Linked DNA regions of Oreochromis niloticus. The protein of the gene in region 3 purifies or fractionates together with the protein of the main gene of each other region. This does not show direct contact. Links are inferred from orthologs where the notes say so. Each region holds a gene or a part of one and is shown on either strand. Other genes may lie near its edges. The genes, in order: smarcd1, bicra, ss18 and smarcd2.

The links.
Region 1: the proteins of ss18 (region 3) and smarcd1 purify together in Homo sapiens (affinity purification with mass spectrometry; 5 studies listed by BioGRID and IntAct, counting the BioPlex papers as one, with this or other methods). This does not show direct contact. The link is inferred for Oreochromis niloticus from reciprocal best matches to the Homo sapiens genes SS18 and SMARCD1.
Region 2: the proteins of ss18 (region 3) and bicra purify together in Homo sapiens (affinity purification with mass spectrometry; 3 studies listed by BioGRID and IntAct, counting the BioPlex papers as one, with this or other methods). This does not show direct contact. The link is inferred for Oreochromis niloticus from reciprocal best matches to the Homo sapiens genes SS18 and BICRA.
Region 4: the proteins of ss18 (region 3) and smarcd2 purify together in Homo sapiens (affinity purification with mass spectrometry; 4 studies listed by BioGRID and IntAct, counting the BioPlex papers as one, with this or other methods). This does not show direct contact. The link is inferred for Oreochromis niloticus from reciprocal best matches to the Homo sapiens genes SS18 and SMARCD2.

The regions. Positions count from the first base shown.
Region 1 is NC_031970.2:8,062,231-8,069,453, forward strand, and holds the start of smarcd1 (SWI/SNF-related matrix-associated actin-dependent regulator of chromatin subfamily D member 1), read left to right. Parts: upstream 1-4,204; 5' UTR 4,205-4,257; coding exon 4,258-4,440; intron 4,441-7,223. UniProt on the Homo sapiens protein: Involved in transcriptional activation and repression of select genes by chromatin remodeling (alteration of DNA-nucleosome topology).
Region 2 is NC_031979.2:33,407,462-33,414,943, forward strand, and holds the start of bicra (BRD4-interacting chromatin-remodeling complex-associated protein), read right to left. Parts: upstream 3,017-7,482; 5' UTR 1,740-3,016; intron 1-1,739. Other genes in the region: napab (N-ethylmaleimide-sensitive factor attachment protein, alpha b), read left to right, coding at 4,040-4,137, 5,553-5,632, 5,740-5,856. UniProt on the Homo sapiens protein: Component of SWI/SNF chromatin remodeling subcomplex GBAF that carries out key enzymatic activities, changing chromatin structure by altering DNA-histone contacts within a nucleosome in an ATP-dependent manner.
Region 3 is NC_031982.2:17,086,543-17,094,357, reverse strand, and holds the start of ss18 (protein SSXT), read left to right. Parts: upstream 1-4,797; 5' UTR 4,798-4,916; coding exon 4,917-4,985; intron 4,986-5,032; exon of another isoform or gene 5,033-5,114; intron 5,115-5,467; coding exon 5,468-5,544; intron 5,545-5,654; coding exon 5,655-5,739; intron 5,740-7,479; coding exon 7,480-7,636; intron 7,637-7,815. Other genes in the region: psma8 (proteasome subunit alpha-type 8), read right to left, coding at 1,241-1,336, 1,420-1,482, 1,715-1,834, 1,936-2,058, 2,243-2,367, 2,525-2,651, 4,011-4,112. UniProt on the Homo sapiens protein: Appears to function synergistically with RBM14 as a transcriptional coactivator. Isoform 1 and isoform 2 function in nuclear receptor coactivation. Isoform 1 and isoform 2 function in general transcriptional coactivation.
Region 4 is NC_031973.2:15,815,142-15,822,583, forward strand, and holds the start of smarcd2 (SWI/SNF-related matrix-associated actin-dependent regulator of chromatin subfamily D member 2), read right to left. Parts: upstream 3,005-7,442; 5' UTR 2,561-3,004; coding exon 2,408-2,560; intron 15-2,407; coding exon 1-14. Other genes in the region: atxn7l3b (ataxin-7-like protein 3), read right to left, coding at 5,516-5,595. UniProt on the Homo sapiens protein: Involved in transcriptional activation and repression of select genes by chromatin remodeling (alteration of DNA-nucleosome topology).

The DNA.
Region 1 (7,223 bases), on a different chromosome or scaffold from region 3:
TTTATTCATTTGTAATCTTATATTTAACACTCAATAGGTCAAGTATAAAGACCCCTCACTCATGATAAAAAGGATATGGATAGATTTGTATCTTTGTATCTCTACACCTGAACAAGGTGTAAACTGGCACACATTGATGTATTTTTAATCTCTTAAACCCTGTAAAATAAAGGCCTTTTTATATAGACTTATCTAACCTACCTGAATTTCTGGTCTTGGATTTTTTAGGCCATTTTTGGCAACATTACTCAGAACATCTTTATTGATCCCCATATTAAGAGCAGTGGGAAGTCACAGAGGGCCAATAGCATTGGTGAAGGGCACAATTCTGAGAGATTTCATTTATTTTTCATGGTAGGAAATATCTGACCTCAGAACATACAAACTCAAAGCACAAGGCTTTTATCCTAGGCTCAAACCCAGCCACTCTTACTCATTTGTGCCTGATGTATTTAGTCCACAAAAAAAGACATTGAAAAACATTTGAAAAAAAATGAATAGTTTCCTAAGAAATATCTTAAAATTACATCCCTTTTTCTCCCACATTAAAGGCATGATGTGATGTGTCATATTTTTCTTTTCTGCCTATCCCAAGATGTTTCCTGCTTCACCCAAAGGCCCACTGTCATTACACTGCTTCAGAGCCAACAACACTTGAGTCAACTACTCTGAGGGCAGACTTGGGAGGCCCAGTGGTGAAGGACACTATTGCTGTCTTGTCCTTGAATATTTTAAGATTAATAATCCATACTGATTTATTTCTAGGCCAGTTATGATGTCAATAATTCATTACTGGTACCAAAACAGTTTTAGATTTTTCATTAATTATTCTACACAAAAAAGGAAAGCATCAGAGGCTGAGGTACTTCAAATGTTTCATTTTTTGCATCAGTCATTTAATGAAATCGGTAGGATGATGGACAAAAGCATAAAGAGCCATCTTCAACTACAAGAAGAACCATGAGTCCTGCCTTTCACAGCAGTATCAGCTTGATATGGCTTGAGACCACCAAAGAACAGCAGCAAGTTCTCCAAGATCATAGAAAAGCATTTTGAAAGTCCTTTTAAAGGACAGGGATGGTCACACTAAATACTTCTCTCATTGCAGTCTGCTGCACTTTGCATGATGAATGATGACGTTAACTGATAAATAAAAACTACTTCCTTCATTATTTTGAAAGCATCCAGCATTTCCTTTTAATGGCTACGACTCAGTCATGGCGGTATATTCCTTCCAAATGTCTCTCTACGAGGGCCTCGCATGCTGTTTTGTTTGGTTTTAATCCATTTTGCAGTCCCTGGCAGACAGATTGACTGGATGGCATACCAAACAAGACAGAGTTAACCTTTGTTTAACTTTTACAAACCCAGACAGAGTTGTTTGTTTTGGTTTACTGCACATTGCATCCATAGATCTGGTTTTTAGTCACCAGTCAGCCTGGAGAGATATCAGACGCTGAATATAATTAAGTTTATTCATTTGGTTAGAGGGACAATGAATTTTAATTACAGTTCTGAAAAAAGAGAGATAAGCAAAAGGCTAATTTTCATAGTCACTGAGCCCGTATTGCCAATAATTTATCAAAGATTGAAAGAAGAAAATGCAATCAGATTATGATAAAAGGTGCCAATGCTCCACTGTTAATTTAGTTAATTAACAGTTTCATTATCTTCATTTCATTTTCATTTCAAGATTACTTGTCAGATACTGACTTATGCTATTTTTTCTTGTGTTTCATACTTCATGTTAGCACTTGTTTAATTAAAGAATAAAATGAAGGAGCAACACACAAACACAATAATGTTTCTGGATTTAGTTTTATTTCATTTATAACCTTCCTTAATTTAAGAAAGGCTGTGATTTCCCTTCATGTTCAGTGAAATTAAGTTAAAGTAATTACTTTTAAACAAGTGCCAAAGTACTAAATTGAGGTACACAAGGTTTATCTTTACAAGCACCTATATTTATCTGTCATATTTCGGTACTTAATAATTACACAATTTCATATGCACTTTAATTTAGAGCAAAAAAACTTTAAAGGTGTCACTTTGGACTCGAGATAATTACGGTGAAAGAAAAATAGAGCCAAATTACAGAGCCAGAGGCAGACAGGTACAGTTCTGTGAAAAAGAACATTTTTCACAGGACTCTATGCACTCCTGTGAAAAATGAGTACACGCTTAATGCTTCCATTAAAATTATATTAGCAGCCAGGAATTAAAAAGGTAAGTGGCAGCCAGGTATTGATAATCAACAAATCATCACCAAATGTGAGAACCTCTATAAAAGCAGACGTTTTGGCAGGTTGCTGGTCTGGAGCATTTAGGTCTGTGTTTACACTATCCCACAATCTTCCCAGGACTGGATATCCCAGCAAAGTCACCCAAAGACCACATCATGCAGTGGTAAGAAAAACTTCAAAGAACGCAAAAACATGAGATACTTATTAAACTCAACAGATATTTCCTACTTCATGGCAGTATAACTAGATATAGACTGAAAAACTATGGCTTGGTTGGAAGGACTGGAAGGAGATAGTCTCTTCTCTCTAAAAACATAGCAGCACGGTTTAGGATTGCAAACTTGCAGCTGAGCAAGCCTCATGACTTCTGGAGCAATGTCCATTAGACAGACAAGTTCAAAGTGGAGCTGTCTGGCCATAATACACAACACTGCGTTTGGCGAAAACCAAACACAGGATATCAGCTCACACACCTCACATCAACCGTCAAAGCACAAGCTTACAGACCTTGGAGTTACTGAGTCGACCATGAACCAAAGTGTTTTAGAGCCAGATGTGAGGTCATCTGTTCAACACCTGAAGTTTGGTTGAAATCGGATCGTCCAAAATGACAATTATACCAAGCTCACCAACAAATCTACAATGGCTGAAAAAGAAAAGACTCAAGGTGCTGCAATGGGCTAGTCGAAGTTTAGACATCCAACTGAAATGCCTGCAAGCCTAAATGAACTTAAGCAGAATTCTAAAGAGATAAGAATATTAAAGACAAGTGGGACAAGTTTCCTCCACAACAACATGAGAGACTGATAAAATCATAAAGAAAACAATTACTTTAAGCTATTGATGCAAAAGGATCTAAAAGCTATCAAGTCACAGGATGCATTTAGTTTTTACAGGTCTGTATTTAGACCAGTAAAAACTTTTACTTTTACATGACTGTAAAACAAACTTGCAGCTTAGTAAGGTCAGTACCAAAGCAAAACACAAGGAAGGCTAACAAGATAAAGACAAAAAGGTCAGTCAAAAATCTAGGTTAACTTGCTGAGGTCAAAAAAACAGGCAGAGTGCACATAGACAGTCCAAGGCATGGATGAACAGGTAAGTGGAGACCTGGGGAAGATTAGGTGATGCTTCTTCTTGAAACTTTTTGCATTCCCTCTTTCACTACATCCATGAATGTTCTCTGTGGTCTTCCTCTCTTCCCTCTGCCTGGTAGCTCCATCTTTAACATTATTTGTCCAATGTAACCACTATCCTTCCTCTGCATATGACAGCTTTGCCTCTCTAACTTTGTCTCAATCTGAGCTGTACCTCCTAAATACTTATTTTTAAACTTGTCCATCCTGGTGACTGCAACAGTCTCCATACCATTCATCATCTCAGATCTCAATACCATTTTAAAAGCTTTCCCATTCGCTCTTGCTGCTATCCTTCTGTCACGAATCACCCTGATACTTGTCTCCACACACTCCATCCTGGCTACACTCTCGTCTTCACCTTTTTTGTTCACTGCCCATGGCTTTGGGGATGATGTTAAATTTATTAATTAAAAATGAATTACCACATTACCTAACTAAAATATCCATTAATTGTAGTCCAGTAGCATATTGTAGCAAAAAAAACGTATCCATCTACAACAGTAATATCCTGGTCAATCCTGCTTTTTAAGTAATTATACTCTAACAGATGTAACATAAAACAAATATTTTGCGTAATAGCACAACTGAAGTGAGTACTCTTAATACCTTAAGTACATGTTCATGATTATAGTTAGAAACTTTTACATAACTAGTATTTTTTAAAGAACTTATATGGAGTAATGGAGTATATTTACAGTACTTTTGTAACGTTGAACGAGGACCTATTCCGCCGTCATCGTCACCAGGTCTAATTTTGCTGTAGTACCACCAACAAACAGGGGAGGGCGTCTTGAACCTGTGACGTCCATCCCAACACTCGTTCTCGCTCTCGCGGTAGCTCCGCGCCTACACCGGCAGCGACATTCAGAGAGGAGATGGCGGCCAGAGGGGGGTTTCAGTCGGCACCGACGGGTGGTGGTGGAGCAATGGGACCTGGACCACCGGTACCGGGTGCAGGACCAGGCATGGGACCAGGAACACCTTCTGGAAGAATGGGACCATCGGCTGCCGCGCAGAACCACATGTACCGCTCACCGATGCCCGGGCCTGGGTACCCGGTAAGATATCGCTCTATCTTTGCTGCTGACGCGTTAGCGAGTCCGCTAGAACAAAGCCTCGCTCCGCTTGCTTTGTCCCTAGTGGCTAGCATTAACCCCCTTCACCACCGTAGGCCACAGCTCATACTAACTAGCAGCCCGGTTCAAAACTGGTGATGCATTTGAAATATTTCACCAGTCGCTGTGGATGACCATCAGAGTTTGTTTGTTGTTTGAATTTGCTAACCCTCCCGCCTGCTAACATTAAGGTTAGCTAGCTAATCGCAGCATCCAGTTAGCTTAGCCTGCTAACCCCGCTAACTGTTAACTGTATTTCGGCCAGTTTTCTTATCAAAAAGACCCAAAATGTGCACCGTGTAGTTTGTAAACATAACAATTAAACCATCCTTTAAGTTTTAGAAGTTGTAGTTTGTGAAGTTCAGGCTCGGTTCGAACTCAGAAGTTGTTATAAGTCGAGCCTACTTTTGAATGAATCGGCTGCATCAATATGAGTTTGTGTCAATGCAAATTTACAACCTACCTACAGAAACACTGATTAAGGAGAGGTGCCAGTCAGTAGCAGACTTCACTCTTTGTTTAGCTGGTGCAGTTTGTCTCGTCGAAGTTGGTGTTTTACAACTTGTAAAGTCTAACATCAGTGTGTCTATGTTTAGTGAGCTCACTGTTACTTGGCTGGTCTGCCGCAAAGTACACCAAGTACCAAGAAACGCTGGGATCTCAGCGTGAACTCACTACGCATCTAAACTGCTGGAAGGATGTTTAGTTAATTTTGAGTCTTATAAGCTGATATTTTCTGATCTTCAAATCAGATTACAGCGGTTAGTCCATTGGTCACAATTAATAATAATAATAATCACATGATTAATCTACAGTCGTTTCTCACATTTGAAATATAAAATAATTTACACAATCTATTAACATTTACACAGTGCAGAATTGATTTGAAAACACATTAACATTGTCCACCAGCAGCATTGGTAAACTAATCTTATTTGCCAGTATACCATCAACAAACTGGATATACAGTAACTGGTCGGTTGGTTGTTTGTCAGTCTCAGAAAGGGGAAAGTTGCCTCACAAACATTTGTCCAAATAGTCGAAAATTTACTTACGGACCTGCAGGTGATACACACATATTAAACACAATTTAACAGTAGTCTATGATCCCCTAAATTGCAGAGATACTCAGAGTAATTATGCAGTAAAATAGATAGAAAAACAGATGTCCAAAGGAGACAATTTCTACAAATTGTCACAATGAATACACAATAAAACCATGGTGCGTTCACCCTCAGCCACTAGTTATCTTGTTTGTTTTTTTAAGATTTGTGCTGTTTCAAGATATTGTGATAATATTTTGATTTATAGCACTTTTACATAGGTGGGTCCTCATACTCATTTGATTATATTAGTTAGGAAACTTGATGTTTTGGTCTCAGGTAGAAGAAAAAAACATAATTTTGAGTTTTAGTGATTTCCTGTCAGATTAAACATTTCCAGAATCCCATCCACATTCGCTGTGTTGCTCGTGTTTGGTCTAAAGTAGATGTTTCAGGCTCTGGTTGCCTTGGTAATACTGTAATTTATTTACCAACCTGTCTTATGTCAGTCAGCGGTATCAATGACGGCAGCTTGGAAAACGTCCTTCACTTTGTTTGCACTATTAAATGTTGCTGCTTGCAAGCTAAAGTCACCAATACAACGTTGTTTTTTCCCCTGTATCGCTGTAAATATAATCACAATTTTCCCTCAAATATTGTGATATAACTTTGAGGCTAATATCACCGACTCTGACTGTAATGGGAGAAGAATGAATATGGGGAACTGTGAAGGTGAACGCAAAGTGCACCTTCACAGTTGCCTGACTCTGAACCACGAAATAGTCTGATATAGACCAACTGTTTCAACTCTGGACGGTGATGTTGATTAGGTTGCCGAATATTTTTGTATGTCGAGGGTGGAAATCCCTGGAATATAATTTTTAAAAACCTCCCTTTAATACATATAGAGATGCACAGCTCACAGATGCACAGAAAATAAAAGAAAAAAAGTTTAAGCAGGTAAAATGACATCAGCTCATTTTCTATCTTGAAATCCCACACTATATTAATATGGAGATACTGATCATTTCAGAAGTTTAACTGCAAGGTAGAAGATGCTGCCAATTTCTCCTTCTAGTTCTTATGTAACAGAATCAAGGTCCACGATGACTGCTGAGATTTAAAGGTGAGCTCCCTTTGGCTGAAGAAACTGAAATCTTTCATTTGCTTTCACATCCTGCAACACATCGTTCTGCACAGTGGGGACTCAAGAAAATGACCAAGAAGCAAACATTTTCAGTAAATCAGGACTTCAGACTCTAAATGTTTTCAAATGAATGGACTTTAAAGCTGATTGTGTGCTCCAGCGATATACTGCGTGCATGCTCCATTACTATATTTGATCAGAACTCTTTGGTTTCTTGGTCTTATTATCCCATGCATGCTCTTGCATTCATATTTAGTATCAGAGTATAAATTTTCATATCCTGATCTGTAGTCCTGGGTTTATTCCCCCGATATTGCATTGGATTGAGTCATCTCCAGCTAATATGTTATGTCTTAAGATAAGAGAATTGTATTAAAATCAAGATATAAACGATGAGTCATTTATCACTGATCCACAGCTGAAGTGTTTGCTTCTTAGCTACTACCAACCTGAAAGACAGCTCAGTAAATGGTTGTCACATATTTTTTCTCTTCCAACGTCCTTGGCAGCCTTTCACATCATAGTCAAAAGAGGCT
Region 2 (7,482 bases), on a different chromosome or scaffold from region 3:
AAGATACGTTCCTGTTAATTTATTCAAGTACAACTAAACATTTAACATTTAATTACCTATCGATGTGCAACACTGATGAAGAACAGCCTATACTAGCTTACAGTATCTCTCTAAAAGCACAAAACCTTCTTATTCTGAGTGTTTTTAAACTGAACTAATGTATTATTTTACTCTTTATGACTCAAAATTTGTCAAGATACAGAAATACTTTCAATTCAAATACAGTTTAGTGTAGGGATTAAGCTGTAATGTAAAAATGGCATCACTTTACCAGGTCTAGAAATGCATTTTATTGAAAAATCACAAACATTAAAAATCTAAACATTTTTCTTGCTTCCAAAGCTATCCAGTAAGCTGGACTAACCATCATGGTCATTTGGTATCCAAAAAGACTAAGTTATATTTAAACACTCTAATTACTCTTAGGTAGTATGGGCTATATAGTTAGTTAATAACCATATTAATAAACATTTATGAAGTCCATCACATATGATATACAGAAAAGGTCAGTCGATAGTTTTTAATTTCAAAGTCCTCAATTTTCCCCTGTGTGTTTTTAACATTCAAATTATGAGTAATGACTCAAATCATTACATCACCTATCACTGTCAGATATTTCGGTGTCTTGTTAGGATAAAGCAGGCATGACGTGATAAATAACATATGAGGTCCTGAAATTATAAAATAATAATAAAGTTTACAGTTAAATACAGAAACTGATTTTCAAAAAATTAAACGTCTTTTAACACCTACACTTATCAACAACAGAAATCCCCATGTGGTAACGAACCCATAGAGAGACCAAGCAGAACTCATATTTGTTAAAATCCGAGAAAACAGCGGATGGCAATAGACAACAAACTGAAAACGCGCGGTTTTCGCTCCGCCTGCAAAGATTTCGAGAACGGGCTCTCGCCTCCCGCTGAATTTACCACAACTCAAAACACCAGCTGTGCCTTTCGTTTCCAACAACACGAAAATAACATCTCAAATCAGCTTCCACAAGTTTACCGAGACCAATAAAGCGACCGTACACCCAGTTGCCGCTCTGAAGCAGCAGCAGATCGTAGCCATTGCTCAGTTAGAGCGCAGCTAGTACGCAGGATATGAATGGAGTCACTGCAAGCGGCTTGCTACATGCTAGCTAGTGTTTTCAAAAAGCTTTGCATGTATATTTCGCTTATTACTCACAACACGGAGTATTTTGTAGCCACACTGCGGACTTAAGACTCTAATTTAACAAAACGTTTAATTTTAAACCACTGTTTTGCCTCTATTTTCAGTCATTTTAACGCATCTGGGTTGACTTTCGTTAGCCTAGCTAGCTAACCAGCTAAGCCAACAAGCTATCAACAATATTGAGACGTACAGCTAGCTTGAGGCTTTGACATTCAAAACAAACCAGCGAGTGACACAATTTTAACACTCCTACTGCACAACGATGCCTCGATTTGACAAAGGCAAGGCAGTATTGTCTGCTTTGAAGCGTAAATGCAATTGCGTAGCTAGCTATCTCTCCTTGTAAGCAAAATATGAGTTAATGTTGGAATACTCTTGGATGAGGGGGGTATGCTTGGGAATTCGGTGGAAAATGAGCATGTTCGCCGGTTCGTGCGGCAGCGTGGCGCTTCGATTGCGGTAGCCGTGCAGTTCGCGGCTCGCGTGCAGTTCGCGAATATTGCAGCTTTGTAACAGTTTTTTGGATTAATAGAGAAATTGCTACATTGTAACAAACTCACCCGAGACGATAGAGGTGCAGGCAGCGCGGGGTCTCCAGGACAGCCTCGCACGGGCTGCTGTACAGGACCCAACTACAAGGCAGGAAACAGGAGACTTCCGGTTTGCCTGATTGAAATCTATTCCTCCTGCGTGTACCGTGGCAGAACTTTTCTTTCGACGTGCTTAGCAAAGTTTTTCGTACATTTAAACACCTTTCTCAGTAAATTTGTGGGGCTGTTTTTGTTCGTAAACCTGAAGTCTGAAGTCTTTTTTTAGGAAAAACGACTGGAGATTTGCAGCTGATATCGCGCGAAAAGCTAACCCTTGATGTTTAAAAACGAAGTAAATAGCACATACCTGGAAACGTCTAGGCCTGATAAGGCACATCCCTGATACAGTAGCAGGGCACTACTAAAAATTACTAATTTGTGCATCCTTTAATATAAAATAACTGAAGTTATGCATTGCTTTTCACTACTAATTATTTGTGTCCTCTAAAACTTCGTCTTGTAACTCCCTTATTCTAATGTACCTCCATTTAGGTATTTGTGGGTAAGTATAATTGGATTATAATTTCAAATAAAATACATTAAAATTAAATTTTTGCTACAGGGGGATTAGTCACAGACTATGCTATAAAGTGTTTATCAGTCAAAGTAGCCTAGTACAGCTCACAAAGCAAGCAGAAATAGTGTACCAGTTTACACAACAAATCTGATATGAATTATTTGTCTGATAATCAATATTCATATATACAACTAGGATACTACAGTTATACTGAAAAGCGATAAGGCATATTGTAGCATGTTAACTTTCCAAACAATGTTTAGTGTTCTGCCAACACCTGCTAATCAGGTTTGCTCACCTGGTCAATGTGGTGACCCTGAAGTATGCTGTTCAGCATTATAGTGTGCAAACGTTTCTATATGGTCCATATCAATAATATTGTTTGAGCACTGCTAAACAGAGCCAAAAGTAATTGCAAAAACACAAAAAAGACACAAATCACATGAGTAATCATGTCAGGAGAATTTGTCACAAGCTGCTACAAATAAAACCACAACTATCACTATTTTTTAACACTCCTTTTGCATGGAAATGAAGGAAAATAAAAGGAAATGAAGAGTTATTCCTCAGTGTGTGGTCACTTCTTTTCAGATTGTATGCCCCTAGAAAATAACCTCAACTCTGTTACAACTTGATGGCAGTTGCTGACTGGTTACGCTGAGAAGACATGCATGCAGTGCACTCGAATTTGTGGGGAACAGTTAACTGTTTTTATTTTTACTTGTTTTACTTAATTACTCATTACCACCATAATAATTATGGTTTTTTTTATTCATGTATTAGTTTATTTTTCTAAATAAGCCTTGATTGTCTTACTGTGTAGTAAAATTGTCAGGTGTGTGTGTGTTTGTGGGGGTAAGAGGGTGGTGTTAATTGCTTTGTGTATGTTGAACTGTTTGATTGTTCTTTGTTAAAACTTTTTTAAAACATATTTAAGAAATCAGTGGTATATGCAAACCATGAGAAGTACCACATGATATCACTTTAACACTTTAGTGTGTTAATAAAAATTAACATGTAATGTTACATGCAGTTCTAATGAACTGACTATCCATCCATCGATTTATTTTTAGGCTGGTCACAAACCAAGAACCATTGTGCTGGATATTATAGCTTGTTGATGTAACTATTTGTGATTACATATGCATATTTTGTATTCATACTGTATGTTTGAGTTATAGTCAAAAGAGAAAATGAAGGAGGCTATTTAATACATTTTTAGGGTTGTGTTTTATGAATAGAAATTTACTGTTATGACACCACTTAACTTTACAGCAGTCTCTGTACAGCTGTGATGTATTCTCCTTTACATTAATGATGATTAGAAACACTAGATGTAGTTGTTAGCTGGTTAGCTGGATAGACTATGGAATAATCCAGTTCTAGATTTTCATACCAGCTCATACCAGACAATAAACAGATATTCCAAAGTTAGAAAAAGGAAAGCTCAGTTTACTGAAACAAAGTCAATAACTACACTAAAACCATACGAAGATTTAAATGTAACTTTAAAAAAAAAAAAAACTTCTAACGGTTACCAGATATGACTAATATACTGGATAGCAAAAGAGTACTTGAATGCACCAGCAGCAACAGTAGTGCGTCGGTGCTCCTGTGTCACGTGACAGAGGTGATGGTTACTTTGCGGCTGGTGATGTGACAAGGTTAGCCTGCAGCCACTAGCAGTGGTTAGCGAGTTTGTTGACTTTTACATTTATTCGTTCTATCTCAGAAACAGAACGATTGCCTGAAAATGGATAACAGCGGAAAAGAAAAGGAAGCAAATGCTTTGATGGCCGAGGCTGAAAAGAAAATGAAATCGTCTCAGTCGTTTTTTGGAGCGTTGTTTGGGTGAGTCTGTCAGCTAGCTAACGTTAACGTTTGGCTAAAGGAGACAGCTATGCGGAAGGTTGGGAGCTGACCACAAGGGTTAAAAGCCAGGACAAAACGATTTTAAATAACTGTTGATTGCCTTTATAAGTTGTAGTTACTATTATGCGGTTATTTTCAAGGCTGTCGTTTAGCATAGCTACCTTTTCTCGGCTCGTCGTATAACTGGAAAGCGTTTAGTGTGAAAGATAGCTGGAAATAGTCGGTACATGCTCATTTTAGACTCCGCTTTAAGGCAGCTTTCATGCTAGAAATAGATTCAGTTGAACCCAAAGCTGAATTGTTTAACATTTTAAGATAATTTCACTTAATTGTAAAGGCAGCGCCTCCCCTATAGCGCCGTCTGTTGGGCAGTTTTCGGAAGGCCACTCAGTCCAAATCACGTGTCATTCACATTTGTTTACAGCAAAAGAAGAAAACGTACTTGTGATGTAGCGAAAGTGCATGTAAGACTAGCTCTCACTAACCTGTACAACGGGCTTTGCATATAACAACCTAAATGCAGGTTAATTTTTCAGGTTGGATTTTTTTCTTTTATTGTAGCAGGAGCTCACGTGCAAGGTTAAAGGCTATGTGTTATGTATGAGGCTGTAAAATCCGCGAGGGGTTTGTGGCGAAACTTGAAAATGTAATTGTCAAGATAGTTGTGTGTGGGTAATGGGACTGAAATCACAAGCAGAGTCAACACTTTTATATTTCTACTAATAAACGGTTTTACAAACCTTTCCTCACTATAAAATAGTAACTTAAAGAAAGTTTAAAGGATTGCACACTGAAGGCAAACATGGTCTTTTGGCGTCACTCAATGAAAAATCAGTGAGTGCCGGCTGGGAAAAGGACCGCTATAACTTGTTTCGACCAGTGACTTATTTATAAAAAAAAAAAAAAAAAGTAGATCAAATATTTCGCATGCCAATCCTTGTTCCTCTTCCTCTATGTTATAGGCATTCAGTTGAGGCAGTTGTACTATTTAAATTATAACATATCCCATAATCATTATGAGCAAAAATTAGATTTTGGCTTTAGATTGTGAGACTTGGGTGTGAGAGTGGGTTTCAAAATTGATTTGGTCGCTGTTTTGAAACGGACTTAAATATGTTTGTCAGCCCTGAAAATTTCAGAAGGCGGGCTTCTGTACATGTGAAGTAATGAGAAAAAAAATAATAAAAGGAATAAAGTTTTGACCCATTGCTTTTAAAATATTCATAATATGGTGCTAAAATTTTGCATGTAAGTATACTAAAAAGAAAAAAAAATCAGCTGATTATACATCTTTCCAAAGGGATTTTACCGAGTGAAGTGTTTATATCATCCCGTGATAATCTGCAATGGATGGATGTCTTATTAAGAAAAAAAAAACATGTTTTGTCACACAGTGGCTCCTCAAAGCTGGAAGAAGCCTGTGACATGTTGGTGAGGGCAGCCAACATGTACAAAATGGCCAAGAATTGGTGTGGTAAGATGATTGTCACATTTCAACACAACAAATGTATTGAATGCCTCTTTCTTTTTTTCCTATGTGCTTCAGTGATTTTAAAATGCAACAATTTATCTTCTTAATAGCTGCAGGAAATGCATTCTCCCAAGCTGCTCACCTTCACCTGCAGATGCAAAGCAAACACGATGCAGCAACCAACTTCATAGATGCTGGAAATGCCTTCAAAAAAGCAGATCCACAAGGTAAACTATACACATCACTTTGGGGTATATAATATAGATGAAGTACACTTGTAAGTTTTACACCTTTTCATATAAAAGCTTTAGATAATGAAAGTGAAAATGGTTTAAAAATGTTATTAAATCTTTTATTTACTTTATTAAATCTTTAACGTCATACAAATGCTATAAACAGTGAAATTCCTGATTAGTGAGAGCATGTTTGAGGTACTCTTTGAGTACTTCAGTACTGTTGAGGTTTCATTCCTTCTGCTCCACGTGTCCTTCCATAAACTGAGGTGTCTGATGAGTCATTTGATTATTATGATATTACTCATCGAGTTTAAGCTGCTTCACCTGACAAACCTGCAGGACTGGCTGCAGATAAGAGAGTAATCATGTCAGGAGAATGATAATTTTGATAAATCCTAATTTGATTTAATTATTTAATGAGCACCCATCTATCTGCTGTTTATTTATCACATGACAGCTGCACATAAGTTCTGCATCAATAAAAGAAAAGCGGAAAAGAATTTGAGTAAATTTTATTTTATTTTTTTTGTTTTTTTTAAAAATTAATCTCATTATTTCATTTTAGCTGCTATGATTTAGAGATATTAAAAGAGTGCCACCACGTGGCATTAAAAACTTGACGTACGATACTTCATAGTCGTGAGTAGTGCAGTGAGTTTGTCTGTAAGCCTTTAAATGAGACTTAAATATCAGCATTCTAAAGTTTTCCTTGTGCTTTGATGCCAATTTTTGTACTGCTGAAAACAGGGCGTTATGAAAGTGCAGGCATTAATTAATATTAATAATAATAATTCAGTGTCCTATCTAACAACCCACAGGGCAGTGGCTAAGAGTTTAATGAAAAAAAGTTTTTTATTTTTAACTATTAATGCAGTTTCATTAACACAGTATTGTATATTATTTCACTTTCAGTCTGAAAAATGTTACAAAAGCCATGAAATAAATATGGTCTAGTACACCCCATTCCCCAGTTTAGACTCTCCCTGTTACTGCAGATTTTTCACCATGTAAAACAAACGGCAGTGGATGGAGCAGCTACAAAGTTTGCTTTTCTTCATGTCACAGTTTGTTAATCAGGTGCTTTGATGAAGGACTCTTTCCAGACATTTTCCAGTAAAGGTTTTAATGTCGATTACTGGAACAGCGCTTACTAGAATACTAGAAACACATTTTCTTTGACTCCACCTGAGAGCTCATCATCTCTGTAATGATGCTGCCTCTTTTTTGCAGTGTGTGAACGGACTCAGGCTCCATGTTAAACGGTGCTAGCATCAGTGCTGCTGTTGTGTTATCAGTCTTTTCATCATAAAACTGGGGACTGCGTAGGTTTAGTGTTAAATTTCATATTCACTCTGCCCCTAAATACATTTGTATAGCAGGTCTTTTTTTTAGTTGCAAATGTGGGTGAAACACTTGTGTTCGGGTTTACATGGTGACGAATAGAGCTGTACATTAAATTAGGCATTGAAATTGTTGAATTTGTGTTAAGGATTTTTTATTTTATTTTTTTTAACAATCAAATTATTCGAATTACCCGATGAATCGTTGCGGTCCTGCATCATAGTACACATTTCATAGCCCATCTTGTTCCTGTGTGGGGTTGTTGTCATTGGGTAG
Region 3 (7,815 bases):
TATTAACTTATTACACGGGAAAAGATATCAGAGCGCTAATTGATCTCTGACATCATCCGAAACACCAACCTGTAAAGACTCACAAACAAGACAAAGTGCAATTGCTCTAGTCAAGGCAGCCAGGGCACCCACTCAGGAAATCCTGGCTTGGGGAGATGACTCTAAATGAAGGACTTTACCATTCACCATTATGTCTTTGGTAAGAGTCAGAGGGAACCCCCGGGGCTCTTCAGCACAGCACGGTACAACTTTTCAAAGGGCTCCAGATTAAAGTCACTGAAAGTTCCCACTGGGGTCTGAGGCCAGGATCCCATTAAGCAGCCCTACCACACCGCCGGCCATAATTGTGTCGTTGAGAATTCAGAGCAGTGGTTGCTTGATAAGCGAATTTAGGGAGAAATAAAAAAGGAGAGGCAAAAAAGGGGGTCTCGTTGGGCCACCATTAGACACTTCATTCGCTCATCACTAATTCGTTTTAAATGACTGAGGGAAAGGTGAGCACTTTATAAAGCAATCCAAGCTTCCAGCAACTCCCCACCCCCTTCCATTTTCAGGTCTGTGCAACAGAATGCTGATAAATGAAAAACGTTACACTTTATAGCCACACGCTTCACTTCTGCTAGTGGCGTTTTTAAACTGTAGTTATCTTTATCACACTACTTGCTTTGCAGTAGAATAATCAATAAAGAGAGTGAGGAAATCTTGTGCTCTTTTTCCAAGCCTCATCTTGAAGAAACCAGTCTTTGTTACTAGGAGTGTCACTTCTAATAATTTCTGTCATTTTTATACAATGGCTGTATTTAGTAGAGCAAGCTGGTATAATGGAGTGAAACAACTTTTATAATAAATCATACAAACAAGTCTGCTTTTATTGAGTATTTTGTTTCATTAAGGTTCTTTGTATCACATACAGTTTATTTTAACAGCGGGGAGTTATCAGAATTGTTTACTGAATGATAAAAAAAAAAAAAAGTGACCATATTTTAAGATCTGAACCCTAACCTGAGATCTACGACTGTGTGTCTTCGAAATAGTCAGCTCAACAGTTGGATGTATAAGAATTCTGAAGGTCTTTACAACTGGTATAGCATCTACACAATATGTGAAAATCACAAGTTATGAGTCAGTTCTTCACAATGAAATAAATGAATAAACCTTCTGAAACCTGCAAATATTTGGAACCCAAGTATGATATCATCATCATCCAAGTGCAATAAGGACAAGATTTTATACAACTGCTTTATGTGGATTTTTTCTGCTTTTTCTTCTCTGCTTCTTCTTCTTTTTCCTTTTCAATCTCAGTCACCAGGGTCTCAATTTCCTTGGATTCCAAAATCTGCAAAGAACAAAATGCAAACCCATTAGCACTTTAGTGAACTAGTAGAAAAAACATAAAGTAATATTTGCCTTGTTAATTACCTTCAGTGGCTGATTTCGTCTGATAACAGCAAGTTCAATATTTTTTCCCCCTGACTGGACAACCTGTGACCAGCAAACAAAAAAATAAAGCGAATACCGTGACCAATTCAGGAAACATTTATTACGCCAGCTAAGACCATTTACACAGAATGCATTGAAAAGAGAAAGTTATAGTTTATTTGGCAGCAGTTGGTGCTCTTTGATGAAACCATGACTGTTTAATTTCACATTATAGAAGACGTAAATACATTGAGGTCAACATATATGGAAATGCAGAAAGTAATCGTAACCTTACCTCAAGCAAAGCTTTGATGGCCAACTTGATTGCCTCATTGTCCCCAGCAATGGCTTCTTCTGTGTAATTCTTCTCCAAGAACTCTCTCACAGTTTTTGCGCTACGGCCGATTGCATTTGCCTGTTTTGGTTTTTTTTTTTTCAAAAATACATTTTTTTTTTTTTTAAGTCATTTTCATACTTGTACAAGAAACCTTTTGGACACAGAAAAATCCTACTGACCTTCCAGGCATGGTACGTTCCCGACGGGTCCGTCTGATACAGCCTGGGAGTTCCATCGTAGTCAAAGCCAACAATTAATGCAGAGATGCCAAACGGCCTGCGACCATTGCTTTGAGTATAGCGCTGCAAATACATAAAAAAAAAATGTTTTTTGACAGGTTATTCATGACTCTGTATTGAAAATGAAACGGCTAGCAAACATGGTCCACTACACAAATGCTGAAAACACTCTTGCCCACTGAAAGGAATAGCTAACATGTCTTTTTGAAGGTGTTAACAGTAAACGACTGCCCAGATGGTTCCTTACCTGTTTCAGTGTAGCTATGTAGCGTGTGATGTATTCCACTGTGACTGGGTCCTCAACTGTTAGCCTGTGGCTCTGGCACTCAACACGAGCTCTGTTTATCACAATACGAGCGTCTGCGGTCAAACCTATAAAATAATGAATGAGGCCATTCAACACATTACAAAACTACAACAAAAATATAAAAGCCAAGTACTAACACATGACACAGCTGTCTTCTACTATGCCATGTTAAATAATGAACACATTATTCAGTTATGGAAAGAAAATTGTTATCTGGGATACCTGCAAATGCCATGCAGACGTGCTCATCCAGTGCGCATATCTTGCGGACAGTTCTTTCCTCCTGCAACTTTGCAACAGATTTCTTCTCCACACCAAGGACAACAATGTCTTTACCTCTGATTCCCACCTGCATATAACAAAAAACAAACAAAAAAAAAATCAAAATATTAATATTAATTTTCTCCCATGGACTAGCAGTTGACGTGAGTAAATAATATCCAGCAAATATTCAGATCCCCAAATAAATCTACAAAGCGGATACCTCTGCATGTTTGATTTGGCAGAGTTTTAAGCTGTATGGCTCCAAATAAGTTTGTGTGTCCAGCTGTAAATGAACAATTCCCCAATAAGCTAACTAAAGAAAGTAAGTACACAATGCAAAGTATATCAGAGGGACAGCTCAGGTTGAGCAGTTTGGAGGCAAAGTTAAGATGGTTTGGACATGTGCAGAAGAGAGATACTGAATACAGTGAACAAGGGTTGTTGAGTATGGAGCTGCCAGGCAGGAGCAAACGAGGAAGAGGAAAAAGAAGATACATAAATGTAGTGAAGGTGGACATGCAGAGGGTTGGCATGACAGAAGAGGATTCTTGGGATAGGGTGAGACGAAGGCAGATAATCTGCTGTGTTGACCCCTAAAGAGAGCAGCCAAAAGAGGAATTAGAAGAGAGTGAGAACATTTTTCATTTACAACCTCAGTTATTTTCGCCAAGTAAAAATTCTGCTCAGGTCACGCATGTGGTTTTTTTTTTTGGTTTTTTTTTATTTGAGGTTTTTCTGTGGTCCACCTGTCCAAAAAGGAGCCTTCAACAAAGTAATCAGTTATCATAGCCAAGTTTACTCAACAAATCTGATTAGGACTTATTTAAGATAACTCCCAAACACATACAAGTTTTTTTTGCATTTATTTTCATATAGTAAATATAAACAGTTTGGTTTAGCCTTCATCATTCCTCAATGTCCTTTGTAATCCACTATTATGACAGCCGTTACCTCTAACCAGGGGAGCTGCGACTTAGTAGCTTTGTGAGTTTATAACTTTTGTCACTAAACCTTAACATAACTACCATTAGTTATGAGGCAACTACAGTGGCTTTTCAGTGATTTGGATGAGATATAATATGCTGAGTAAAACTCAACTTTCCAGACCAGGTAATAATCAATCATGGGTACTTGCAAACTCCTGTCAGTTAGTACCAACACAACGAAAATGAAAGTTAAGCGTGAAGAGTGACACAGCGACAAAATGCTAGCTAACGCTGACTGCTTTTTGTTTGCCATTTTCGGCATTAAAAATATGTATTACACATTTGCAAGCCAACAAGCTCGTAAAATTGCAACAAAACCTTGGTCCATAACAGAAGGTGTTAAGAGAGAAAATTGCTAAATACATAAAGGAAACCGCTAGCCGCGCGTTGATCGGCTAATCTAGCTTCACCCATGTTGCTATCGTTAGCTTTAGCATTAGTTTCATTTAAAGACTTACCGCTGTAGAACCTTTCTTTACAGCTTCCTGTGCATACTCCACTTGAAAAAGATGACCATCGGGAGAAAAGACAGTAATAGCTCTGTCATATCTTGCCGCCATTGCACCGCTAGACGCGTATTATAGCAATAAACTGGAGAAAAGGCTACCAAATGATTCAGCTTGTTAGCAACAAGCGATTCACTCCGTGTGTTGAAAAGGGCGCCTGCGCATGACCTGTGAACTGAGACGATACCAAAAGTGGAGTCCACCCGGAGGGAACTTGGGATTAAAACACAATACTCTGTATAATTTGATTGGTTCTCCGCAAAACAGAAATCGTAAAAAGTAGAATATTACACTACGAGCATATACAGTATTTTAATATCAAGTTTTATTTACTTTATATATTGAGAGAGATTTCTCCTTTCAAAACGGATGCTATAAGAGTGAATAAGAGCACATAAATCCCAGGACTGATATTAGTTATTACTACCAAAATTTATGCAATGTCATTTTAATAAGATATATATACACTAAACGCTCCGCTTTCCCCCTTTTTCCGACAGTTTATTTTTTATGGTCTTGTGGTCCAGCTCTGGACTGTTCCATTATATGAAAAATAGGTGAAATTGTAATCCAATTAAGCCAAAACGTGTATGATTTTAACTATTTAAATACATTTTCTTATATATTATGAGTTATCTGATCTTAAGCTTTACATTAATTATTCATGTATGGTCAGAACAAGCAGAAATCAGTAACTATGAGTTAAAATGTGCTACTTCGTCCCCCAAAACGGACCACCGCATTACGAAATTGCATCGTATTCTCAACTGCTTGATCTGAGTTCTACCGATTTGTTCAGTGTGTTAGCTACTTTTAACTTTTATGCTGTAGCTTACGTTAATATTCTATAGTATCACCATGTCGGTGGCATTTGCACCTCACAGGCAGCGTGGGAAGGGTGATATAACACCCGCTGGAATACAAAAGGTAATTCATCTTTTTTAGCGCGTCGCAGAATGGAGGCTGTGGCATCAAACGCGGCTAGCCGTTGAGATAATCAATGTAGCAGTGCCCATCCAAGTCCAACTGTGAGCAGCTCAGGAACAATGTTACAGGGTCAGAGCGCGGTGAATATGAACCTCCCTGGAAACGGCACTCCACGTGTGGAGTACGAGTCTTGGGTGGATTTATCGGACTAACGTATAATTGTGTTTTAGGTTAATGGAGGCCTGTGGTTTTGTTAGCAAAGCACAGCTAGCTAGCAAGACGCGTCTTTTGTTGGCTAGAAACGCACACTCACATTTTACAAAACACGACCCTTCACTGTCTTAAAATGAAGACAGAATAACATTCGGCAAGCAAATTAATTGTCACGCCAAATGACCGTGTTCGTCCGCTTTATTATTAATATTTTGGGGAGTTATAATGAGTACCACGCGTAATAGAAATCTCTGAATTTACCATTGCAGTTACTTGATGAAAACAACCAGCTGATCCAGTGCATAATGGATTTCCAGAGTAAAGGCAAAACTGCTGAGTGTTCACAGTAAGTTATTGGAGTTATTAAGTTTTAAAAATTTTTTTTTTTATAATATTTCACGTTACATTTATTTCAAGTTCCCATTGACTCAAACACTGCACTGTTCACTTGCCCAGGTATCAACAGATGCTGCACAGAAATTTAGTGTACTTGGCGACAATAGCAGACTCCAATCAGAACATGCAGTCTCTCCTCCCTGCTGTGAGTATGAATTCTTAGTGGTTGTTGTGAATGACTGAAATGTCTGACTGTCTTCTTAGATCATACCCAGTTCAAGTCACTTGGGTATTTTAGATAAATCATCAATGTTAAAAAAACATTTTTTTTGTGAGATTAAGAATTTTGAACAAAGTCATTAGTTTTTTTTTTTTCCCTGTTAGCAAAATTAAAATGAGTCTTTTGAAAACTCACTGTTATAGTGATCTGTTCAGTACAAACAGACTGCAGGATTTCTTTATGTATGAGTGCTATCTGTTGAGCTGTTGTAGCTGCCATTTAAGGATTTATTGCCAGTAGTGCTCATTCGCAAGGCTTCATTAAGTAGAATAAATATTTTGGGTGAACAAATTGAATCCTTTACTGAGAAAATCCATTCATTTCTCAGTTTGGTTAAGCTCTCAGGCACTTGTTAGTGGTGTTTAATATTGATATTATTTTTATTGGTAGTAGTATAATTATCGAGTCTGCTTATGGTTGGATTATCCATGCTCTTAATCATTCCATAACAATTACCCGTTTGAAGAACAAGGAGACTACAAGAGTCAAATATGTCAAAAACTAAAAGTACAATTTTTCTTTCAAGTCATTAAATGTAATCTTCATTAACTCAAAAGAGTGTTTATCAACTAGAACATTTATTAAACCTCAAATAAAGGTGTGCTTTTCTTGACCTTTAAATATAACCCAATTCCAATTACATGGAGAGAGAGGAAAAAAATGGTTGGCAATGTGAAGTTAGCCCGAGAAAGCCCATCTCGCAAGAGCAACTGCTAGTCACAGTGCATGCAGGCAAATGGGTATAAAGAGTCATATTATCTTGATTACCTTTGGAAGCCAAAACTTAATTCATATTAAAACTTGATCAATTACTCAGCCCTAAAGTTCCCAGCATCAACAAGAAACGCTGTGTACACCGTGTCTGAACACAGTGTAGAAATGGCCCAAAAAAGGCTTTTATTTGTAATTTATTTGACGTGCTCATCTACGCAAAACAGTTGTCGGCATCGAATAAAAAGAATTGATAAGCTTGGAGGCATAGAATTTTATTAGACTTGATTAATTCCATTAAAATCTGTTATCGATTCTCAACTGGAACTATTCTTGCATTCCCATCCCTAGTTGCAAAGAAGCACAGTGGTTACAAAAGTGATTGAAGTCACTGATTTGCTAACAATCATATAGTAAAGGAGTGAGTGTATTCTTATGAGTAAATGTTGCTGACATACCTTAAACTCAGATGATGAGTGTGGGCACATTCATTTTCTTAATATGCTGCATGGTGAGCATGTTTCTGGAGGGGTAGTCAATGACTCAAACAGCTGGGATTAGGACCAGCTGTTTAAAAGAAATGCAGACTAGAGAACAGTTTTAATTGCTGTTTTTAAGCCATGAACCTTTTAAACTGCTGCATGTATAACAGTCTTAGTTCAGGCTATTTTTTTAAGCCAGTTTTGTTCAGTTTGTTGCAACTTTGTCTATCGATGCATTTTTGTAATCATTGAAGGTTTCTAGCTGTTCCTTTTATTGAAAAACGTTTTTCCTTTTAATGTATATTAGTAGATTTTGTTCTCCTTAGATTAGTGTTCTACATCAATGCCACAATCTCTATATCAGAGTTATCATGTTTTTTTCTGGAGTTTTTATCTCAAGTGGCTCAGGTTGAGATCTGTTTTCAGAGAGATCATGTGGATTTATTTTTTTGTCTGTGTTGTGCACCTACAGCCGCCCACTCAAAATATGTCCATGGGTCCTGGTGGCATGAACCAAAGTGGCCCCCCTCCTCAGCCTCCTCACGGTCACAACATGCCCTCTGAGGGTATGGTCAGCGGTGGCCCTCCAGCCCCACATATGCAGAACCAGATGAATGGACAGATGCCTGGTATGTGTTCCCCCCCACCTTAACTTCCCTGCCTTGTCTTTCTTTTCTCTTTCTCCTTTTCCCTCAGTTCCTGTCTCACTTGGGTTGCCTAGCAACACCACAGAACTGTGAGGGAGGTCGCTCTAAGGTATCATAGGCAAACATGCTGAAGGATGATGTCACCCATTTGCCAGCTGTGG
Region 4 (7,442 bases), on a different chromosome or scaffold from region 3:
GGCATCCCGGGGCGCTAGAGAAAAAGAGGGAAACTGATTTCACGGAACGATTTCTCCATATCTACACAAAAAGTTGAATATTTCATTTAGGACTAAAAGAAATCAAGGATCTGATTTACTAAAGAGACAGAAAAAAGTACCCATTTTAAAATAATAATAATAATAAAACCAATGATGTGTTAAGCTGTGTGCACATAAATTTCATATTGTATGATCAACTTATATCAAATTCTAGCTTTTTGGATCTGGTGAGTAAAAAGAGTGCACAGTGACATACAGTATAGTCACTTACACTGTATGCTTTTGGTTGTACCATAAATATTATGAGTCATAATAGCCCCATTAAAAACATGCCAAAAACGTAAATGCACTGTTTCTGCAGGTGGGGTTAAGTTTTTAAGTTCTATGGTTTAATTATGAAGTTGTGCATATAAAAACTGTTATGGCACTGCAGTCTTTATCTCCATCTACACAAAGCACAACCTCTTTCAACTTAAAGGTTTCACGTATCAGGATATAATGAAAAGAAATCTGGTTCTTAGCATGCTTTAAAATTTGCTAAATATAACCTTGGATGAAATACAACACATGACATATTACACTGTGTTTTTATTTATTGTTAAACAAAAAAAATAAATAGAAATGCAGAAGCAGTAAAGTAACAGCCAGATGCTGCTAATGCACTTCATCAATTTATTAGTTTCAGGAAGTGTGAACACCTCTGTAACAGCAGAGGTTTTGACAGTTTGCTGGTTTGGAGGATTCAGGTGTGTTAACACGAACACATCAGCGATAGTCCTTGAGAAGCAACTGCTGCCCATCAATCTGGAAAGCCTTATAAGGTAATTTCCAAACAATATGAATCCATCTGTCTACAGTGAGAACTATTATCCACAAATGGAAAGCATTCAAGACAGTTGCCAATCTTCCCAGGAGTGAACGTCCCAGTAAATTCACTCCAAGTTCAAACTTTGCAAGAGCTACTTCTCAGGCCTCAGTTAGCATGCTAAATGTTAAAGTTCATGGCAGCACAATTAGAAAAAAACTAAACAAGTATGGCTTGTTTGGACGGGCTTCCAGAATAAAGGCTCTCACATTTGAACAAACCACAAAACCTCTGGAGCAATGTCCTTTGGACAAGTGAGACCAAACTGGGGATATTTGGCCATAATGCTCAGCACTACATTTGGTGAAAACTAAACACAGCATAACAGCACAAACACCTCATACCAGCTGTCAAGCGCGGTGATGAAGTCAAATGCGAGGCCATATACTTGACAGCTAAAACTCGAGTGTAATGATCACAAGCACACAAACAAATCTACAACAGAACAGCTCAAGAAGAAAAGAATCAACGTGGTGTAATCACACAATCAAAGTCCTCAACCCGCGTAAAATGCTTTGGCAGGATCTTAAGAGAGCTGCACATAAACAAATGCCTGCAAATGCCAATGAACTGAAGCAATGTTGTAAAGAAGAGTGCACCAAAATTCCTCCTGTGAAGGGCTGATAAAGTCATACAGAAAAGGATTACTTCACACTGTTGCTGCTAAAAGCAGTTGAACAAGCTCCTGAATCTTGAGGCGTGCTTAGTTTTTCACACACTGCTTCTGCATTTCGGCTCAGGTTTTGTTATATAAATAATAACCCAGTGTGATGTGTTGTGCTTTGTTACACATCTGAGGGTGTATTTATTTTAAGACCTGTTACTGACTAGATTTTTTTTCTTTTTAATTATGTCTTTTTATGTAACACATCAGTACTGTAAATAATGTATCAACAAATTGTGAGAATTCTCACACTTTGTCCAGTTTGTAAACATTAAAAAAAAGTCTAAACCCAAATGGCTCCAACTGTCAAAACGGGGGTAACTGCGATGGTGTCTGTTAACTACGGGAGAAGCTGCAGATGGTGACAATACTGGCACGATGTATGCAGGCTTGCCTCTGGGCAGATGGGGCTGATAAACTTTTGCTTTCACGCTAACTGACAGGAGGCGAAGCGGGCAACCACGTGATTTTCTTTTTCACACGCGCACAAAACGCTAAACGATATCAATTTGAATTAAACGTCCCACTACTTTTATGTACCACTTCAAATGCCATAAAAGAAAAAAGGTTACACTTAATGATTGCGGTAATCAATAAATAATTACACCCACTTCGAAGGCGGAAGTAGTGTCCACACGGTGATATATATGAAGAATAATGAGCTTTATGGGGTTTTTTTTTTTATTTCCATGTCTCTCGGGTGAGTATTTCAATTAGATAATTTTATTTAAACACCAATTTAAGGCTCCAAAGTAACGAAAGGCTTAAAAAGACATGGGGGTGATCGGACAAATACCGTCACCCTCACCTTTCACTCAGTTTCTTTATTTGACACGGAGAAATCAAGCAGAACCAACCTGGGGGTATTGGGGAACGCTGCTCATGCTTCTGGGATATCCCCCCGGAGGCTGGGGCATTCCTTGCATCCTCATGCCCGCGGCATGCCCAACATTCATGGGGCTCATACTCGAATTCATCGGAGGACCAGTGAAGCTTCCCCTCGATGCCATCTTCTAGAGCCACAAGTGGTTAAAAGTGACGGAAACTTCAAACCAAATTCGGCCCAAATAAAAGTGCGGCAGGCTGAAGTCTCCAAGTAGGTAGCTAACTAACTCCGGGTACTTCTGCTTAGGTCGGTTTCTGGTTTGACAGCAAGCACACTGTCAACAAAAAGCTAGCTAACGTTAGCTCACTTCCTACCGTTTCAAGTTCCGGGATTTGCTTCTACCTAGTGACTGCTCGTTTTGTGAACACGCCAAGTGGGAGCTCTTGTCATCTCCCACTCGCGCCTTTACGACTGAACGACGCCAGATAAACGATAACTAAAAGCTAATACACTGTGAGGCGAATTAAAAACATGATAACGTCTGACTTATGACAAACTGAGTATCTTGAGCAGATAGTTTGTCTGCACTCTAAAGCAAAACCAAGTACGCTCAACTACATGTTGCGTTCACAAACATCGGAAATTAGGAAGTTCCAAATTTCAGCGCGCAATAATCTCGATTTTTTTTTTCTTTTTGAACACGTTAAAACACATGCTAGTCTGAAGTCTTTATTTCTTGTGTATTTTGTAAAAGTATATATTTTCAATTATATTTTATTTTCAACGCTTGATTTCAAATGTGACATACAGAAACTTGCGATAGATTTTGTAATAGTGTAATTTTGTTTCTTCCAAACCAAATCCTGGAGTAATACTCTGCCTCCTGAACACTAATTTTTCTTAAACAGTAATGTGCTGAATCTAGAAGTGTTGAAACGTATAGAAACATACAGGGAAATACAGGATAAAAGAAAAACGGAGGCTGTACAATTTTAGGGAGCTTGAAAGCCAATATTTGGTATGACTACATTTATTCATCAGCACAACACGAACTCTCTTAAGCAAGCTTAAATACTCTTCAGGAATAGTTCTCCAGTCTTCTTAGGGGACATTCAAAGCTCTTCTTTGTTTGGGATCACCTTCCTGCTAAAAAATTATGTCACTGCCAGTCAGACACTTTTCAGATTGCATTGCATGGTGGATCTAAATATGACGCTACTTTCCCATTCATTTTTAAAAGATCCCCTACACCATTGACTGAAACACAGCCCCAAACCTCCAGAGAGCCTCCACCATATTATACAGATGACTGTAGACACCCACTGTTCTACCCTCTACCCTGACGTCCTCTGTAGAGTCCAATTCTTGTGAAGTTTTGCATACCTCAGCCATTTCTCCCCATTTCCCTTCCTTAATAATGGCTTGTTGATAGCCAACCTTCCACTGAGGCTATTTCTGATGAGTCTTCAGTAAACAGTACATAGATCCTCTGTCAGTTTTTGTGGATTTTTTCTGTTTACTGTTCATCTGTTGTAGATATTTGTTTTAGGCTTGGCATTTTTTTTATCCTCTATTTGTCAAGTTTCTCCAAATTCTTGCACACAATACCAAATTATTCCAAGTCTTCAGCTAGTAGCTCTTTAGAAATCAGCTTGTTGCTATAACACACTCAAACTGTGTTATCTTTGGATTTTTTTGTCTAAAAAAGTGCCACTTTAAAACTGGTCCTGTGCTAAGTTATCTGGTATGTGCAGAAATAAAACTACTTCCTCCCTTGAGTTAAATGCCCCCTTTTATGCTTGAATTTAAAGAAAAAAAAACAAAACATTCTCCTGAAAATGGTCAGGTACATTGACTGAATATGAATAGGAGTGAAAAAGCAGCCCACGTCCAAAGAAAAACTTGGAAAGACTTTCAGAAAGCCTTGAGAACTATTGCTCATCAAAATCTTTTAACCTATGGGCTACATTAATGCCTGTACTGCAGAGTTTAGGAAGGCTACACAAAAACATTATCAGCTCCCCCTTGGTACAATAAACTCTGAATAAGAAGCTTGAACTGTATGAACACGGCTGTGTTTACAACATGACAGTTTTCTAAGAAAATGACCTATAACCACACTAACCAAGGCAATATTTAGGCCCACATCCAGCAACAGAAGCATGTGTACATCATCTGATCAACAGCACCCCCTGTTGGTCGGTAAGACATTAATTCTATGTACTTGGTTGCTGTTTTATACATTCACACTTTTGTTAAAATGAATGTGAAAACACAGGACAGATAACAAATCATTTATTTTGCTAGACAGATGAAACAAACTGAGCCATGATAGCAGCAATTCAACTATTAGAATATTTACACTATCACATCACACCAAGGACATATGTAACCCTTTACAATGTAAACACATGATACAAAGACATATTTCAATGCTAGAAAACAAGCAACTCTATCCACCAAAAAAAAAAAGAAAAATGAAGAAACCTGCTTTCTGCACCAAATACCTGCTTCTACACTTCAGGAGTTCATGTCCTGAACATTGTGAAACAAGTTTCCACAGGTGAACGACAGATGCTTGTCTTTTAATTCTGTTTGAGAAATTCAGACAGTGAAAGGTGAAAATAAAAGACAAACCATTAGCAATGATTGTCTTTGACATTATTATTTTTTTTTCAAAGATTGAGATTGTAAAATGTGAGGTAATATAAGGACATCCACTGTGTAATCATTTCTGTATTTTATGAAAAGAAACAAAATAATACTGTAAGCATACACCGTCTCTGAATGAATTACACCAAAGTTTACATCTGTGCAGTGAAATCATATTTGGTGAAAAGTATCAGTCGAAAATGATAACTACAGAAAATTTTCTTTTTAAAAAACAAAACAAAAAACAAAACAAAACAAGTGTTGGTACAATGATTTTCTGAATAAAAATAAATTTGTCAAGTATAAGGTTGGGAGCTCTGGACTGCTTCTGCAGAGCAGCAAACACCACAAACGTTGCCTTTAACCATCAACGTCCATTCATTTCACAACATAAAGAACCAAAGGTGAAGTGTTGTTGGTCATCCCGTGAGCGTGTCTCTGTGTGCATCTCCGCACACATGATAGTGAGAGAATGTTTGTGTTTGTGTTATTGTGAGAATGCCTCATCTTTCATCAGCATGCGCGGGCTCTCCTGGTTGTCCATGCGACGTCTGGGACCCATCATGCCTAGAGGAACAGACGCGCCATTTATTTATTCATGCTTCAATCCAGACACATAATTGATTTCAACTGGTGTTTAGTGTCTCAATCACTACACTATTACTGGTTCTAAATTATATGTGCACCAGACAATTTATTAGGTACATGTTCAACTGCTCATTAAGGCAGATATCTAACCAGCCAATCACATGGCAGCAACTACATGCATTTAGATATGTAGAGATGCTCAAGACAGCCAGCTGAAATTAAAATTGAGCCTCAGAATAGGGAAAAAAGACGATTTAAGTGCGGTTTAAAGAAAACAGAAAATATCTAATGAGCAGCAGTCGTATGGGTGAAAATGCCTCATTGACGCCAGACATCTGGAGTATGCTAATAACCACAATACAGTTAAGGTTCGCAGAAGAGCATCTCTGAACGCACATGTTTAGCCTCGAAGCAGACAGGACACAGTGGCAGAAGACCACAGCGGATGCCCTTCCTGTCAGCTAAGAACAGGAACCTAAGACACATTTCCTGACCAAATTTGGACAATAAAAGGTTGGAAAAGCATTGCCTGGTATGATGAGGCTTAGTTTTTGCTGCAACATGCGTAAAAAAAACAAGAAAGCATTGATCCATTCTGCCTTGTCTCAACTGTTCAGACTTCTGGTGTCAGTGTAAGAGTGTGGGAAATATCTTCTTGGCACACTTTGGCCGATATCAATGTGGACCAGAATCTCTGAGGAATGTTTCCAGCAGTGCGTTGAACCTGTGCCATGAAACATGAGGGCAGTTCTGTGCACAAATGGGGTTCCAACCCAGCACAAGAAAGATGTATCTAATAAAGTGGCCAGTAAGAGTATTTTGAATAATTTTTATAATATGCTAGCAGAAATTTGTAAGTTTTTTTTAATATGTCTTTTTAGTTGTAGACTGGGGGTAGCTGTAGCTCAGGTGCTAGAGCAGGTCAGCTGCTAACTGGAAGGTTGGTGGTTTGATCCCAGTCTGCTCCAGTCTGCATGCCAAATATCCTCGGGCAAGATACTAACCCAACATAGTTCCCTACAACACCCATCAGAGTGTGAATGTGTATGAATGTTAGATAGGGAGCACTTAACAGCTTAGAAAAAGTGCTTGGGTGTGATTGGGTGAATGTACAAGTTGTATAAAGCGCTTTGAATGCTCAGAGTAGAGAACCAGTCCATTTACCATAAACAAAGGTTTAACTGACAGATCAAGGGAGAAAAACCTTATGTTGCTACACTGTGAACTTTCTGAATTCTACAGAACAAAACGTTCTACCGCATACTTTGGTGTGGTAGAAATCTTATAAAGTCATGGATGTGACAAATATAGAGAAAGCAAAACAGGATACCTTTATAGCCACCACAGTCTGAAGCCAAACACCTTTAACACTTCATTATGTGACCAAATATATGGTTATGGTTTCCTGTTGAATTACGCTCATTAATAGTGGCTAATAAAATCAGCTGACGTTAACACGTCCTTGACATTTGGGACAATAAAATTCACCACTTCATTTCATTCTATTAGACATAGATTATTAGGGCATGTTGTGTCTAAAGGAGGAATTCTTGTGTAATTTTGCCCTTGAAATCACTTTCGTGAGCATACAGGTGGAAGAAGGAGCTACTTTTGGCTGCTCCCTTATTTATAAAGGGTCGCCACAGCGGGCAGCTCTGTATGCTTGGCTTGGCAGATTTCTTTTTTCTTTTTGATGCAACCTCAAAGGGATTTGTGTCTCCTCCTGCAATCGGGCTGAGGATTTCTCATTTGTTAGGCGAATTTGTAAACCACTACAGTATGGACTGTACTGACAGATAGGCGTAACCTGGAAACATAATACCTCC